Struthio camelus: one gene and its partner. Each later gene encodes a partner of the first gene's protein in a complex. Links are inferred from orthologs where the notes say so. Each region holds a gene or a part of one and is shown in the gene's direction. Other genes may lie near its edges.

What was found. Proteins that work in one complex are often made in the same cells at the same time.
Region 2: the proteins of NTRK1 (region 1) and NGF are in contact, whole or in part, in a crystal structure (PDB 1WWW), measured with the Homo sapiens proteins. The link is inferred for Struthio camelus from reciprocal best matches to the Homo sapiens genes NTRK1 and NGF. Residues at the interface, in NP_002520.2 of Homo sapiens: His291, Val294, Glu295, Met296, His297, Cys300, Pro302, Phe303, Ser304, Leu333, Glu334, His343, Gly344, Cys345, Arg347, Thr352, His353, Met379, Asp380, Pro382; in NP_001424474.1 of Homo sapiens: His125, Pro126, Ile127, Phe128, Arg130, Gly131, Glu132, Phe133, Ser134, Ser138, Ser140, Trp142, Tyr173, Phe175, Arg180.

What each region holds. Positions count from the first base shown.
Region 1 is NC_090971.1:3,478,945-3,487,488, reverse strand, and holds the start of NTRK1 (high affinity nerve growth factor receptor), read left to right. Parts: upstream 1-5,340; 5' UTR 5,341-5,379; coding exon 5,380-5,555; intron 5,556-7,051; coding exon 7,052-7,126; intron 7,127-7,305; coding exon 7,306-7,377; intron 7,378-7,732; coding exon 7,733-7,801; intron 7,802-7,878; coding exon 7,879-8,033; intron 8,034-8,128; coding exon 8,129-8,277; intron 8,278-8,404; coding exon 8,405-8,531; intron 8,532-8,544. Other genes in the region: INSRR (insulin receptor-related protein), read left to right, coding at 380-488, 666-736, 1,027-1,256, 1,349-1,459, 1,602-1,761, 1,840-1,969, 2,050-2,184, 2,349-2,619. UniProt on the Homo sapiens protein: Receptor tyrosine kinase involved in the development and the maturation of the central and peripheral nervous systems through regulation of proliferation, differentiation and survival of sympathetic and nervous neurons.
Region 2 is NC_090965.1:10,274,744-10,282,727, reverse strand, and holds the start of NGF (beta-nerve growth factor), read left to right. Parts: upstream 1-4,544; 5' UTR 4,545-4,836; intron 4,837-7,984. UniProt on the Homo sapiens protein: Nerve growth factor is important for the development and maintenance of the sympathetic and sensory nervous systems.

The sequences.
Region 1 (8,544 bases):
CAGGGGATCAGGAGATGCTGCTGGATGAAGGCACCAGGGAACTGGGGGATGCTGCTGGACCAGGGGGCCGGGGCATTGGGGGATGCTCCTGAACCAAGACACTCGCAGCTTGGGGGTTGCTGCTGGATTGCAGAGTTGGGGGATCAGGGGATGCTGCTGGACCAAGGCAGCAGGAAATTGGGGGATGCTGCTGGACCAGAGCCCTGGAGGATCAGGAGATGCTGCTGCGTTGAGGAACTGCAGGTGCTGGGTGCTCGGCCCCAGGCAGCGCGCAGGGCTGGGAGGCCGTGGGACGGGGCGTCCGGCTGTGCTGGGGTGCAGGGTCTGGCACAGCGGGAGCTAGACCCATCCCTCGCCCACGGGCACGTGTTCCCAGCAGCCGAGGAGGACTCCGGCAGCTTCTACATCCTGCTCACCGTCACACCTGTGGTCCTCATGGTGCTCATCTCCTGCCTCGCCGTCTTCGTCTTCTTCTACAACAAGAAGAGGTAGCACCCCCCCGTCCCCAACTGCCAGGCTTGGTCACAGCCCCGGCCGCCCCCGCGGACGGAGCCACCGAGCCGAGGCTGGGGAAGGGCTGGGGAGGTGGCATTGTGCTCTCGTCCCTCCATCCCTTTCCCGGGCCGGGGCAGGAGCGGCCCCTGAGCGATGCCCACCCCTCGCAGGAGCAACGACGGTTACCCCAGCGGGACCCTCTACGCCTCTGTCAATCCCGAATACTTCAGCGCCTCGGACAGTACGTAGAGATGGGCAGATGTGCCTCCCAGGAGGGGTTCCCTGCAGGACCCTCGCAGGGGGTGAAACTGAGGCATGAGACAGGGAGGTCCCCGAGGTGCCCAGTGGGAGCTCATCCCTGAGCTAGTCCTTGCTGCATGGTCCCAGCATCCCCACACTTTGCCCTCAAAGCTCTGCACCCTTTGCGGGCGGCTTGAGGGGTTCACCCAGCCGGGACCCCCAAGCCCCTTGGGGGGGCTATGCCCGCAGTGACGGGGACGGTGATGGAGCGGTCCCCACCTCGCTCCGCAGTGTACATCCCTGACGAGTGGGAGGTGTCGCGGGAGAAGATCACCGTGATCCGGGAGCTGGGGCAGGGCTCCTTCGGGATGGTGTACGAGGGGCTGGCACAGGACATCGAGGCCGAGGGCCAGGAGACCCAGGTGGCCCTGAAGACGGTCAACGAGCTGGCCACCATGCGGGAGCGCATTGAGTTCCTCAACGAGGCCTCCGTCATGAAAGCCTTCAAGTGCCACCACGTGGTAGGTGGGCGGCCGGGACACGTGGAGGGAGGGAGGACGCCGCTGGAGGGTCTGCTGTCGTTCACCCGCTGCCCGCCCTGACCCCTGCCCAGGTCCGGCTCCTCGGCGTCGTGTCCCAGGGCCAACCGGCCTTGGTCATCATGGAGCTGATGACGCGTGGGGACTTGAAGAGCTATCTGCGCTCGCTCAGGCCTGACGCCGAGGTGAGGGGCTGCAGCAGCAGCGGGGCCCCAGAGGGCTGCAAATCGGCCATCACTCGCCCCGGATGCCCTCGAGCTCTGTTTTTTGGGGGTCCCGGCACCGCGTGCACCCAACCCCATCTCTCTCTTTCTGCGCTCGGTGCAGAACAACCCTGGGCTGCCCCCGCCCGCCCTCAAGGACATGATCCAGATGGCGGGCGAGATCGCCGACGGCATGGCCTACCTCCACGCCAACAAGTTCGTGCACCGGGACCTCGCTGCCCGCAACTGCATGGTCTCCGAGGACTTCACCGTCAAGATCGGAGGTGGGCGCCCGGCGGCGGGTGGGCACGGCCCCAGCCCCCTGCACCTCCCGGGCCTCACGCCTCCTCCTCCTCCTCCAGACTTCGGCATGACCCGGGACATCTACGAGACGGATTATTACCGCAAAGGCGGCAAAGGGCTGCTCCCCGTGCGCTGGATGTCCCCCGAGGCCCTGAAGGACGGGATCTTCAACACGCACTCGGACGTCTGGTGGGTGCTGGGGCGTGCGGGCGCTGAGCTGGGGGACCGCAGGGGCGTCCCCGGGGCTGACGGGCGGTGCCTGCCGGCAGGTCCTTCGGGGTGGTGCTCTGGGAGATCGCCACGTTGGCCGAGCAGCCCTACCAGGGCATGTCCAACGAGCAGGTCCTGCGCTTCGTCATGGACAACGGGGTCCTGGAGCGACCCGAGAACTGCCCCGACAAACTGTGAGTGGCGAGAGCAGCGCCGGCTGCGGCGCCCATCACCCTGGCCTCTGGCCTGGCTCCGGGCAGCGGAGCCGTGAGGCACATGGGAGGGACATGGGGTGACCTGGGGGGGGGGGGGGAGACCCGGGGCCCACAAACCCAACCGGGTGCCCTCTCTCCCGCAGCCACGAGCTGATGTGCCTGTGCTGGCAGCAGAACCCGCGCCAGCGCCCCTCCTTCGTCCAGCTCCTGGCGCGCATCAAGGACCACATGGCGCCCGCTTTCCGCACCCTCTCCTTCTTCTACAGCCCCGAGAACGGGCGGCGCAGCTCGGGCGAGCCCTCCGACGCCGAGACGGACCCGCTCCCCGAGGAGCACGAGCCGCCCGCCTCCCCGCCGCCCGCCCGCAAGGACCGCAGCCGTGGCTGGCTCCCGAACGGGGCACCCAGCCTCTGACCCCCTCCATCCTTGCCCCCATCCCGGCTTCCCCGGGTGCTCCGGACTTTTCCTCCCGTCCCATACGTGCTCGTCCGGCTGCCCCCCGAGACCCCCTCCGTCCATCCCGGACCGGCGGGGGGGCTGCTGGCGTTATTTATTGCTGGGAAGGGAAAGGTGGGGGGGGGGGGGACCGCGCTAGGAGCTGCACGCGCTGGAGCACCCTGGGGAAAGGCAAACCCAGAGCGTGGGAAGCGGGTGGCGAAAAGAAACCCCCAAAAGATGCCCGGCGTGGCGGGGTGCCGTCCTCCGCGCGGCCGGGAGCGGATCGCACCGGGCGCTTCCTGAAGCGGGGTGGTCGGGGCGGGAAATGGGGGTCTGCGGGGTGGGGAGCAGCATTTGGGGGGTCGGGGCCGCCCTTCCCGCGCCGCCCGCTGTCGCCTCTGCCTCTGCTCTAATGCCCCAGGCCATCTGCGAAGCAGGTCAGTAGCGTTAACCCCGTTTTACAGATGGGGAAACTGAGGCATGGGGTGGGAGATGCCTGGGACCACCCTCCCACCTCCCTGAGTGCCCCCCCCCCCAAGTCTCTGGTGCTGGGACTGGCATCCGGGGCCATGCTGGTCCGTCAAAGGGGCTTCGCTGTCTTCTCTGTGGCCGCGGGACGAGCGGAAATAAAGCGGGACGAAGCTTTGGCGGTGCTCTGGTTTGTGGGGGTCGCGGTGGGTGGCCGCGGCACCCGGCGGGGAGCCGGGTACGGGACTGCCCCGCCACCGGCCCCGGCTGCTCCCTGCATGCCCCCGGCTCAGGCACCGCGGGGGTTTCTGGGGTGAAAAAAAATGTTTCTGGGGATAAAACATCCGGGCAGTGGAAGATGGGGAGCAGCACGGCGTCGCTTGAGCCCCACGTCTGCCCCCGGCTCACCGCAGCCAGAGGGTGGCTCGCTCCTGCGCTCCAGGGACCGAGCTGCCTGCCAGAGCCCCCAGCTGAGAACGTACCAAACTCGGTGCCTGCCTGAGCCACCCCCGAGGGCGCAAGGGCCAGAGCTGACCCCGCAGCGCCCTGGAGCCCCCTGGGTCCTTGCCGCCCGCGGGCTCGGGGACGGGCAGCGGCATCAGGGCTGCTGCCGGCCCCAGCGCCACGTGTTAGCCGCCTGCCTGGTGCTGCCGAATCCCGGGGAGCCGGCCAGCTCTCTCGTTCATGCATAACCCGCTGCTCCGGGGCAGCAGGGGCAGGGGACGGTGATGGCACGTGTCCTCCCGGTCCCCGCTGGCGGAGCGGCTGCAAGGAGATGGGGGCCGGTGGGATGCAGGGCTCAGCGCCGGCGGGTGCTGGACCGCCGCAGCAGCAGCCATGCCCTGCCTCCCCCGGGGGAGGAGGGTCCCTGCCAGGGTTGTCACGAGGGGTGACAGCTGGGGACGGGGCCACTGTGCCACCGAATGTTCCCCCCCCTCCTTCACCCACCTCTCTGCACCCTGATGCTACCGGGGTCCTCTGGGATGCAGCAGCTCGGCGGTGCTTTGAGATTTTGGGCCACAGCTGCAGGCCAGAGGTGAGACCTGCTGGGGTTGGGGCTTCCTTGAGGCCTTCGTCGAGGGTCCCGGCAGGGGCTGAGCCCCCCGGTCCCTGGCACAGGGCAAGGGAGGGACGGAGAGCAGCGGTGGCCCCATGAGCCCAGCAGTGATGCTGCGTTGGGGCTCTCCTGTCCCTTAAGTGCAGCCGGCTCTGGGCTGGAGCCAAGCAGCGGAGGGTGTGTGTGTGCGTGTGTGTATGTGTGTGTGTGTGTGCGTGTGCGTGTGTGTGTGTGTGTGTGTGCGTGTGTGTGTGTGTGCGTGCACGCTCCACGCCAAGGCCCCAGGGGTTGTGCATGGCGCAGGGGATGCATGCAGGATGCCTGGCCTCCGGGTGTGTTGGACTCGGTGCTGGGCAGCAGCGGGGGGGGAGAGATGGGAGCTGCCTCTGTGGCTCGGGGGACCCGAGCGGTTGGTTTTGTGCAGGGTGCTGGGTTGGAGGGGGGTGGGTGGGGGTGCGGGGTTTGCAAGCGCAGGGTGCTGGGCTGTGGTGCAAACCGCCGGGGCGCGGAGCTTGTGCGGGTGGTGGGAGTTGCGGCGGGGGGCAGGTTTGCAAGTGCCGAGCAGCGAGTTTGCAACCGCGGGGTGCAGGTTTGCGGGTGCGGGGTGCAGATTTGCAGCTGCAGGGTGCTGCTTTGCAGGTGTGAGGTGCTGGCTTGGGGGTGCGGCGTGCAGATTTGCAGGTGCGGGGTGCTGACTTGCAGCTGCAGGGTGCTGCTTTGCAGGTGTGGGGTGCTGACTTGCAGCTGCGGGGTGCCGGCTTGCAGGCACGGGGTGCAGATTTGCATCTGTAGGGTGCCGGTTTGCAGGCGGCGGGCGGCTGCGGCCGGCCAGGAGCCGCCGGGGGAGGCCGGCGCAGGATGCGGCCGGACCAAGGGGCTTCCCGGGAAGCGAGTCACGGTGACTCACGGGCTTCCCGGGAAGCGGCTGCCCGCTGCCGCCCAGCCGCACCGGACCCCAGCACGGCGCACCCGGCCCTGGGAGGGGTGTGTGTGTGGGGGGGGGCGGCCTGCCTGTTTGCCCCCTTCCCCATCGCTTCCCCCGCCCCGGCAGAGCTGGGACCCCCGATGCCGGCGCTGCCCGTCCCCGCGGGAGGGGAGATGCTGGCTCCTCCCCGGGAGGCTGGTCCTGCGCTGCCTTTAATCCTGCGCGCACACATGCTGCGGGCGGCAAGTGCGAGGGAGGCGGCGAGCGGGGCTGCCGCGGCCCCGCGATGCTCCCGCCGCCGCCCGCCTGGCTCTGCCTGGCCGCGCTGCTGCTGGCACCGGGCAGCGCCGAGCCCTGCCCGGCGCCCTGCCGCTGCCCCGGCGCCGGCACCCTGCTCTGCCGGGAGCCCGACACCCTGGGCAGCCTGGCCGGGCTCCTGGGCGCCCGCACCTTCAGCGACGTGTGAGTGGGGAGGATGCTGCGGGGTCGGCTCCGGGCGAGGTGCGGCCCCCTCCCCTCTCGCAGCCGTGATGCTGGTGGGAGCCGAGGGTGCAGCCGGGGTGCTGGCACCTCGCCTCGAAGCTTGCGGGGTGGGATGGGGAGGGGGGAGGTCGAGTCCTAGGATCCCCCCCCTCCCCAGACCCGAAGGGGTGTTTGCTAGGCAGGGATGTCCGGCGCAGGGAGAGGGGGGCGGTGGTGGTACCCAGCTGGGGAGCGGGATGGGTTTGGGGATGCTCCCGGAACTGGTTGGGTTGGAGGGATCCCCTCTGCCTTCATCCTTCCCCCTGCACTGGGATGCGTGCTGGGGAGGGGGCAGCTTGAGCGAGGAGGCTGCTGAGGGCGATGGGTGGTTTGGGTGATAACGGGGTGCCTGGCCTCCTGGGTCCTCCTCCTCCTCCCCCTGCTGCAGCCCCGGCCTTGCCGCATCGCCCTGCGGCATGCCTCCGTGCCTCAGTTTCCCCACGGGCCAGGGCGCTGCCAGCTCTTTGTTTGCTGCTCGCGGGGTGGGGCGGATGGCGGCGGGGACGCGGTGCTCCCTGGCAGACCCCCGTCCGCGGCCGTCCCAGCCTCCCTTGTCTCCATCGTCCCCGCAGCCTCGTGCAGGGGGTCTGCATGGTTGGGGGCACCCCGCGGTGGTCGGGGCTCAGCGGGACCAGAACCCCTCGGTCACAGGTTCAAATCCCCAGCTGGCCCCCTGAGGACTTGGAGCAGCCCCTGGGGTGTGGCAGGGTGGTGAAACCCAGCAGTCGCTCCCGAAAGGGGTTTCCATCACTGCCCACCCTGGGGAAAGCAGAGGGAGACAGCACCTCAGTGTCCCCCCCCCCAAAAAAAAAAAAAAAGTCATGCCACAGGGACACAGGCGGGCGCAAGCAGAGGTGGGGACCCACCGAGGGTTTGCACCCTGGGGGTTAAAGAGGCTGAGACCCGGCAAACTCGCTCGCTGGGTGAGATCGCAGGCTGCCTGGCTGCCGAGCGGCCCCTAGGATGCCGAGGTCAGGGGCGCCCCAGTCCTGTTCCCGCGCCGGTCCGGAGGGGATGCATCACGCTGGTGCTCGGCTGGGAGGGCTCAGTACCCCCGGGATTGGGTATTGCAACCGGGGACAGAGAGCTGCTGCCCCGCCGCTGTCCTCTCCCCCCTTCCCCATCTCGTCCCTGCCTGCTGAGGGGGAAACCGAGGCCCGGGGGCCCGCGGAGCAGGGCTGCCGTTGCGGGGCCGCGGCATGGGGCGGGCGTCCCGTTCCCTCCGCCCTGCGTTTTGCGGTGGCGCGATGGCGTGGGTGCCAAGCGGGGCACGGACGGGGATGCTGGCGACCCGCTTGCTCTCCCCGGCATGCCTTTCCCAGCCGTCGCGGCTTGAGCCTCCGGCTGCCAGATCCTGCATCCCACCGAGGGGGGCCGGACCCCGGAGTGGCGGCCGGGGGGGCCTGATCCCTGCGCCGGGCTCATTTGCCGAGCAGGGTCATCGAGAACCAGAGGACGCTGACGACCTTGACCCGGGCTGACACCAGGATGCTCCGGGACCTCAGGAACCTGTGAGCATCCCCGAGCCGGGATGGGGATAGGGAGACCCCCCCCCCCGGAGTTCCCTGGTGCTTGATCCCACCGTGGGGAGGCAGAGGGTGGCTCTGGAGGGATGTTTGCCCCCCCGGAGTGGCGGGGCAGGGACATTCGGGGTCGGGATACGGATGCTCAGTCCTTCCTTGCTTCCCAGCACCATCGCCAATTCGGGGCTGCAGCACATCTCCGTGGATGCTTTCCAGGACACCCCCAGGCTGAGCCACGTGTGAGTAGCCCCCCTGTGCACCCCCCCCAACCCCGCGCTGTCCCCGGGGTGGCTCGTCCCCCCGCCGAGGGGCCGATCGATGGCTTCCAGCCTCCCCAGCGCTCGCCGGCGGCACGGCAGCAAAACTCGATCCGTGGCAGCGGCCGGGGCGGGGAGGGGGAAGCGGGCACAGGGATTTTACCGCTGAGTGGGAAACCCATCGATCGAGCCGGGAGCCCAGGCAGCACCCGGCTCCCGGCACCTTCGTGCCGCACGGGCCCCGATGCGAGAGGGGACGCCGGAGGCGGTGGGGACAGCGACTGTCCCCGGCGAAGGGGCTGCTGATGGAGGTGGGGGGGGGGGTCCGTCCTTGCAGGAACCTCTCGTCCAACGCGCTGCACAGCCTGTCCTGGAAGACCTTCCAGCATCTGCCGCTGCAGGAGCTGTGAGTCGCCGGGGAGGGGAGGGCGAGCGGGCGGCTCCGACGGCCCGCTCCAAACCTTCGTCCCCTCCCGTCCCCAGCATCCTGGCGGGAAACCCCTTCAACTGCTCCTGCGGCATCCGCTGGCTGCAGCTCTGGCAGAACGGGAGCCGCGCCGAGCTGGGCAACCAGTCGCTGGGCTGCTGGGAGGGCAGCGTCTTCGTGCCCCTGGGCAGCCAGCACCTGCGCGCCTGCGGTACGGACGGCGGCCGGGCTCGCGGGGCGGCCTTCGGGCGCAGCCGGGGCCGCGGGCGGCAGCCGGGCTCCGCTCACCGCCCCGCCGCTCGGCAGAGCCCCCGACCGTCCGCATCGAGCACGCCGACGCGGTGCTGCGGCAAGGCGACAGCGTCAACCTCACGTGCCACATCGCCGCCGAGCCGCCGGCCGCGGGGCGCTGGCTGCTCCCCGACGTGGGACCGGAGGTGCCCGTCGTCACCGAGGCAAGCTCGGCGTGCGGACGCCTCTCGGCTCGCTTCGACCTCGCTGGTGGTGTCCTGGCCGAAGGCGGGCGCCCGGCGGTGGCACCGTGCCGGCCGCCTGCTAGCTCTCCGCTCTGGTTCCCCGCAGCTCTCTGACCAGGAGATCCTCCTGGAGATCCACAACGTCTCCTCCAGCCTCAACCGCAAGGACATCACTTGCCGGGCGGAAAACGTGGCCGGGCCGGCGGAGGACAGCGTGGTCCTCAACGTCACCTGTGAGCCACCAAC
Region 2 (7,984 bases), on another chromosome or scaffold:
CAGCTGTCAGACTCTGTGGATTATAGAAGGATTAACACTAGCAGAGTTTGCGTGGCATATTCCCAATCAACAAAACAGGGGAAACACGCATTTGACTTTAGCTCTTGAAATGCTCTTGTCACGGAAGCGTGTGTGAAAGGTGCACCAGATCATATGTGGTTATAAAACTTTTGTCCACAAAAGAGACACACAAGTCCATTACTAGTGAACCCTGACTGACAACTCTTCGTGGTTTTCACAGAGACTTCCGACTCCAACCCAGCCACTAGTTCAGTCTAGTGCAACAAGCTATGGCTAGGGATAAAACCACGCAGCCACTAAGCAGAGTATCTTACAACCTTTTATCCTCCTATAGAAGAGCACTCAAACATCTGAGTGCTGTTTTTCAAAATTCATAGTTCCTTTTCTGTTTTAAAATAGCACGTATGTTCTAATTTTACCCTCATTGCAAACCAACAGTGAATATTAAGGTATTCTAACAAAACTGCAGGCTTATGTATACTGTAATATACAGTAGTTACTGTGTCTTTCCAAATAAGTTATCAGGCAAAACCTCTGCTGAATCCAAAGAGGAACGCTATGTAAAGTTATTCTCATAGCTCTGCTTTGTCTATATGTCACTACCATAAGAATTACATTCTGTCTGTAACAGCACTTGGATGATCACTAGACAGTTTGCTTTTACTAAGATCAGGCTTTGGAGATGTTTTATTTTACAGCAAAATGGTTTGTTTTACTGTACCCTTTATAACTAACCAAAAGAGAAAGAATAATATTAGTGCAAGTCCATAACTCACCATAACTGAATGTTTCCTATCACCACTTGTTTTGAACTGCAGTATATTGGGATGCATCATGAGCAAATCAATTTCTTGACGCAGCTAAGCTACATTCGGTATGCGTTATCGATTCAACTGAAAAACCATGCAGCAGAAGCAGTTAAGAAAAAAACAGGAGACTGAGTCCCACAGTAAATCAGTAATGAACTTGTTTGTATGACCTACTTATTCATGACCCATGAGTGAGCTTCTGCTTTTTGCTAATAGCTTCTGCCCTACACATAACACTATAATGTAATGCTACACAAACTAACAAAGCCAAAAGAGACCACCTGTCCATCAGGTTTTCCATGTTTGAAACTAATACAAGAGGAGAACTTGTGTTGTGACCATTCCTTCTAGTCTCTCAGTTAACATCTATTTGGCCAAAGGTGGGCTAGCTTCCTCCAGCTGAGTATTAAGAGCTAAGTTTAATATCTCTTTACATTCAATTTAGCTTTAGGACTAGAGCTGTCAAACAAGCTTACATAAGATAGCAATGCTCTATTTTCTGGAGGTTTATAAAATTGGAAGTGATAAATATTCTTTTAGGTAAAACAGATTCTATCTTACACTTTTGAAAGCCTCACTTTAGACGTTTAAAACACTTCTTGCATTCACATCTAAGCACCTCCAGATAGCTGGGGTGGGGGGTGTACTTTTGATTTATCTTTTTTCCTGTAAAGACCCAGCACTACAAGAAAGTACTGAATGCAGCTGTCAGCACGCACGTGCACGCGCACACACACACACAATTAAGTATCTCTGAAGAAAACAAGATCTGTCACCCTCATCCCATGCCCTATACTTTTATGACATGTTTGAAAAGCTTTTCATGCTCTGTGGGTCCTTTTATTAACACCCTGACACCTCTCTAGACAGCAAGATTTTAGAAACAGTAGCTCTGCTCACCTGCGTTACTTCCATACTCACAATGATTTCAGACACAAATGAGGACTTTGTTGGTTCTGGCAGCTTTGTTCCTCAAAGAAAGTTGCTTATAAATGGAAAAGCCCAGCCACTGCTCCTCAAACACCTTCCCCGAAACTCTTTCAGGAGCACAAAAGACATCAACTCCAGCAGGAATTCACCTCCTGTACCCAAGGCCTCTTACAGTCCTAAACAACCCACATAAACACAAAACACCTTTTTCCTACTCTGTGCCTCCTTCACTAACCTATTTGGACAGAAGTGCTGATGCAGGGGGAAGAGGCTGTAACAATCCACAGCTGTTGTTTTGGGGCTTAGGGCAACACTGAACTCAGCCTAATGGTCAGAATAGCCACAGCCCAAGACTCATGAGAGCACAAAGCATTTCACCTCTTGTCACCACTCTCAACAGTGCTGCTCTTCATTTTGATCTGTGTGCTTTTGGTTTCCTGAAACAAAATATGTCAACGCACTACATGCCAATGCTTCTCTGGAACACAATGGATCGACTTACTCTTAGGCGAAAATTGAGGTAATTGTTCAAGGAAGCTCATGCAAGAGGTCATAGGAGATTTGGGATTATTGTAGTAGAGGCAGAAGAATAATTGGATGCAAATCTCTAAGAGAACCAGGATTCATTAGTTTGGTGCTCACAGAAGAACTTCTCTCTATGCAGCAGCTTCTCTGATTCCAGAATACATCTTTTCCTTGCTCAGCCTGACATTATTAGTTCTTTACCTTGTGATCAGTGATTTCCTGCCTAAGCAAGAGAACCCCCAACTCATGAAAGATAAAAGTTAAACATCCGTGCAAGTAGGTGGGTCAGAGCACTGCTAAAAGAGAAAGATATACAACCTACTCTGTGCAGCGCTTTCAGCTGCTCAGCTCCAAGTATAGCAGTCCACCTGGGATTACGTCTGTACATGGCTAGTATACCCATAGGAGCACGCCTATTTTCCAGAAGCTAGGAATGTAGAAATGCTGTTTGTTTGGGGTACATGGGAACATAAGGAAAAAGAATACAAGCCAGTGCGTTTTCCTAGGGACTGGTGCAGCTATCTTTCTTGCTTATATGAACCTGCTGCTATGATGGAATGAGGTACTAGAGGAGAATTTCGTTAGACAAAAGTAAGTGCTTGTGATACAGATTAAGTACAAACTCAAACTGTATTATTGTTTACTGTGTCCAAAATAGCTTTTTTAACTTTTAAGAAAACACATGCAACTCGTGCCAAGAAATCAAACGTAGAGATGCTAAGCACAAGCATGTACTAACTTTTTGGTCAGAAAAGAGCATATATTTTTATATTGGTGTTTTGATGCTGTTCATTATACTCACACCAAGCTATAATGCTCTTTCAAATTGTCAGCAAAAAATCCTAACCTGAGGATATCCTAATGAAGTGAGACAAATTTCCAACACAAGAATAGCCTGGCATTTCTGCAATGAAATATGAATCTAAGGCCAAATCCCGAGGACAAGTTTTACAGGCAAAACTTTCACAAATTCTGATGGCTGTCTGTGTGAATGAAGACATTACAGTTTGGCCTGTGACTGGTATCTTGTGTGGGCCGTCGCTTTTAGAAAAACAAACCAATCTGAACTGCATAATTCTGGGAACTTAGGAAGGTATTTTCAGCATTTGTTTTAAGCATTTTGTGTTGCAATTTTCTTAAGGATTTTTCAGGCAATTTTAAATGGACATCACCTCCAAGAAAAGGTCTAGCACTGAAGCCAGTCTTAACTTTGGCACTGTGGAAAATGAATGTAAGACTTGTCTACGACTTCTAATAAAATAGAGGATATGCTTGGTTCGAGTTCAAGAACTATCACATTCACGTGATATATAAAAAACATTATTATCTCAAAGCTACTTTGTCTTCTTCTTTACGCCTTTACACAGTACCTTCCACACATCTTTCCCTTCCTAGAAGGTTTTCAAGCATGAGCCTCTCCAGATGTCCGCCCTCTTCTGGATGTAATCAAAAGATGTTTTATTATTTCCACGTTTATAAAATGCAGTGGTCTGTTTTTCAGTAGAGGATGATCTAACTTTTTGCCTTGGGTCTCTGTGAAATGGCAAGGGTTACACTATGCTAGTATGAGAACTATGAAATTCCAGGTGTCTGCTTCATAGCTGTATTAAAAGTTCCTTTGGTTTATGTAGTCAGTCAACTGTTTATTGATTTGTTTAATGTCATGTAATTTTTCACTTTTGCATTTCTTCTCTGTATTTCTCAGGGCTTAAAACACACTGTTGCTCTGTGGTAAAGCACTTAATCCTCCTTCACAAAAATAATGGAGAAACATTTCCATCTCCCTCTATTGCTTATGGTAAGCATGTTGAGCACAAAACATTAGGGCTGGAAGGCACTTTATATAATCTTTTCCTCTGCCCCAAGTCAGGATCAACTATTTCCTTCTTACTCCTGATCAGTATTTGGCTGACCCCTGATAAAGACATCTGATAACAGGGACTGCACAATTTTTGCAGACAACCTAGTCCACTGCTTCATCAGTTAACTGTTAGTTTCTTCTTATTCTTTTTCATAGACTCATGACATGAGTAAAGGGCTCTAAGGATCACTTTCACAAGGACCCATTCATCAGGGACCCGGGGCTTTGCTTTTGTGACCTCTCATCTTTAAACACAGCACAGATATTAAGATGCAAAGCAGAAATTCTTTAGACAAAAAGTACCTTAAAGAGAATTTCAGTTCTTGACAGTGGAACCAGGAAGTTGACACTTTTTCTCAGTCATACAGCCAGTGCACGCTTTGAAACTTTCACTGCACATCTGTGCATCACTGCATGGATTAGGCGCCAAGCCAAAGGCTAGATTCCTACGAGTCCGTGCAGCTCCCACACGTTTACAGCACTAGGACCCAGAGGGAGCTTAATTCCTGTGAGTCAGTGCAGCTAGCTGAGCCTGAGAGCAGTGAATGAGGCTGGAAAGGCAGAGGGAATGTGAATGGCTCGTCTGGCTTGGGAAAGTGTCCACAGACTAGGGTGCTACGGACTACAAAACAGCTTGGACACCCCTCAGGATTTCCTCTCCCTCCAGTGTTGAGTGATAGCAGCTCTGAGGTGAGTGACCCCACAACCGTCAAAGGGTTTTCACAAAGCAAGTAATGCTGCCGTTGCATCAGTTGTGGAAGTTTTCCTGTCTTTAAAATTTGCCAGTATGTTTTTGCTGTACTGTGATTTTCGCTCTCTTGAAGGGGTGCAGATCAGATGCCTTTGAAACATGGAGTGCTGGTTGCTTAAAAGTAACATTTGTTCAGAACAGCTTGGTCTAGTAAGACTGAAAATTGCATCTATTAATGCAGTTTAAATAGCATGCACATCTGGAAGGTGTTCAGAAAGCATTTGTGGCTAAGTTCAAAGCTTGAAACGTATCTTTAGTAAAAGCAGCTTAACCTTAGAGAAATGTAGGCATTCTTACGCATCGTTTTTCATCCAGGTAAATCAGACCTTAGTTTTATCTGCACAGGTATAGCAGTTAACTTCTATATGAAAATGCTTTGCTGTCTTGGTTTTCATTATGGTGTAACACTTTCTCTCTTTTCCATGATAATTCTACTCTAGGTAAGAACTCTTTTTTTTGCTTTTCTGAAATAAATAAATAAGAATTCTGGTCAATCCAGACATAATTGGCACAAGGCAGAAACCTTCTAGCTCTAGGCAGAGCTGTAGTTCACTTTAGACTGTATATTCTGTAACTACACTTGGAAAAGCTTACCAACTCCTTGCTGCCTGCCTATTATTGACAGGATGAAACTGACAGTGTTTATTGATTTATCCTGGGTGATAGTAACACCGTTTTATCTGATACGCCAGTCAGACACAGGAACGGGGACCCCAGCAAGGGAGGAAAGGAATTTGTGTGCCAAGAACAAAAAGCGTTTGTGCTTCAATTGTTTTCTTCACTTTAAATTCTCCTTATACGCTCAAGAAGTTTTAGAAAAACAGTGAAAGTGAGCACGCTTGTCAGGCTGGTTTTTCCAAGTTGTCACAACTTGGAAGTTGCATTGTCACTGTTAGGCAGATAATTCATGAGTGCTTTCATGCATTAGTGTATTACAGTAAAGCCTCTTGGGTACTTTTTTGCTAAGCTAAAATAGAGTGTGACAATTATCTGCAAAAAGGCAGGAAGCTGACTTGCCTGTAAGTTCATACTTGTTGCAGTTCTGAGCTGTTTCAGGTACTATGAAAAACAGGCCTTTTAAAAAGCCATCTCCATGTTCAGATGGACAATCATCATCTCACATTTGTCCAAAACTCACAAAGTTACAACAGTGTCTGCACTTTCACAAAAAAAAATTACAGTGATGGGATCAAGAAAATAAAATGGAGTGTCCACATGAGCAGGATTAAGAAAGATTTGGCCCTTAAATATATTACTCGTTAGGTGTATGAATCATTTTCTAAAAAATCTCAGCAAGGTCTGGAGAGTAGCTCTTCTGGCAGATGTGCGCAGTAAAGTAATAGTCATTTCACATCCTGATCAATCCCAGCCACTCACTCTAAAGGGATCTGTCAGTCTCACAACAGGGTGGCAAAGAAAGTAAGTAAGTGTGGCTTTCTTGCTCATGGTTTTCACATCCTCTTAGCTTAGCAGTGTCCATTTTCTCACCCAAAAGCTTAAGTTATCTTCTCAGATGTCTTCATTTAATTCCAGCGGAGAATTACAGAGCACAAAGGATCATTCTAGCCCATATGCTAAGTTACTTAGAATGATTATTACTTAGAATGATTAGGCCTCCTATGTAATCACTGTAAAATGTTAATTTAAAAAAACAGGTTAGGAAAATACGTAAAATGTTGATTAAGTAATAATTAGCATTTTTAAGTGAAAATGCCCTTCTTTAATGGAATACATATAACAGCAGGAAAGATGAAACACATTTAAAAACTAGATTACTTCAGTCCATAGAATACATCCCATAATTTCACCTGTGCTCATATACAAAATGCTCCTGTAAATGCAAATTCCATCATGCACATTTCATTAATCAATTTTGTTTCTTTAAAAAATACCTTTAGAACTGGCAGGATATTGAATATATATTAATTAACATTAATTGCATTAAGTTGAAGGCATCATTTGGAAAATATATCGATAATTTTAAGGAGGTAACGTAGTTCTACTATTGTTTTAGTCATATATTTCGAGAACAAACCTTGCTCTTAAAACAAAAGAGTTAAAACAATTAATGATTTCACTCCAGTAGATTTAATATTCCAGCACCAAAAGTCTACACCAGTACTGGTGCGTTTAGAAATATTTGTCTATCCTTTAAATCTCAGTCCACTAAAAGCTAGTGAACGGCAACACCTTTCAACTCGACTACAGCAATGGTGACCTCTGCTGGCAACTGCCCTCTCGTCAGAAGTTTAAAGGGCTTGTTCAGAAAGTGACCATAAAGTAACACATTTATTAGATCAGCTGATACAGTTAGAGAAATGTAAGATACTACTTCTTCCCACAAGCCTTGCCTCATGCTAACGAGGGGTGAAAGGCACCCGTAACAATGGTACTAGAGCTGCTTTTTTTCACGGTAAGAAGAAAATTCTCCCTATCCTCAATTTGACTCCAGCGCTGTCACGGAGGCCAATGTGTTTTAAGAGCATTTCTATGACAGAAGCGTCTCCCACACTGGGACAGATGTCCTATGGGATGTGAGTGGCTTGTTTTCCTGACACAAGGCCCTTTGCGCAGCTCTGTTGAATTGATTAAATATTTGCAAGTGTTTGCGTGTGCATGCATTTATACCAAAAATTATTACGTGGCCAAACACAGCAAGGTCATTTTTGCTTTTGCCAAGAGATCATCGTATCTATTAGCGTAGGTTATGCACACTTTGAGTATTGGTGTGATTCCACTAGCGCTATTTATATAACTCAGTCAGTGAAAGTAAAGCCTCAGTCCCACATTATAAGCCCATCTTGTGCCCATGTCCTGACTATTGCATGTAGTTATGGTCATTGTCCACATCTCAAAAAAAGAATAGAGTAAAACCAGAAAAGGCACAAAAAAGAGCAACAAGGCCTGGAACAATTTCCATATTAAGAGGAACTACATAGATCAGGACTTCCCGACCTGGAAAAGAGATGGCTGAGGAGGGATATAATGTAGATACTCGTAACTGTCCTGTATAAGGTTAAGAAGAAATGGCTGTTGTCTGTCTCCCAGTTCAAAAACCAAGGAGCAGGAAATGAAACTTACAGGTGG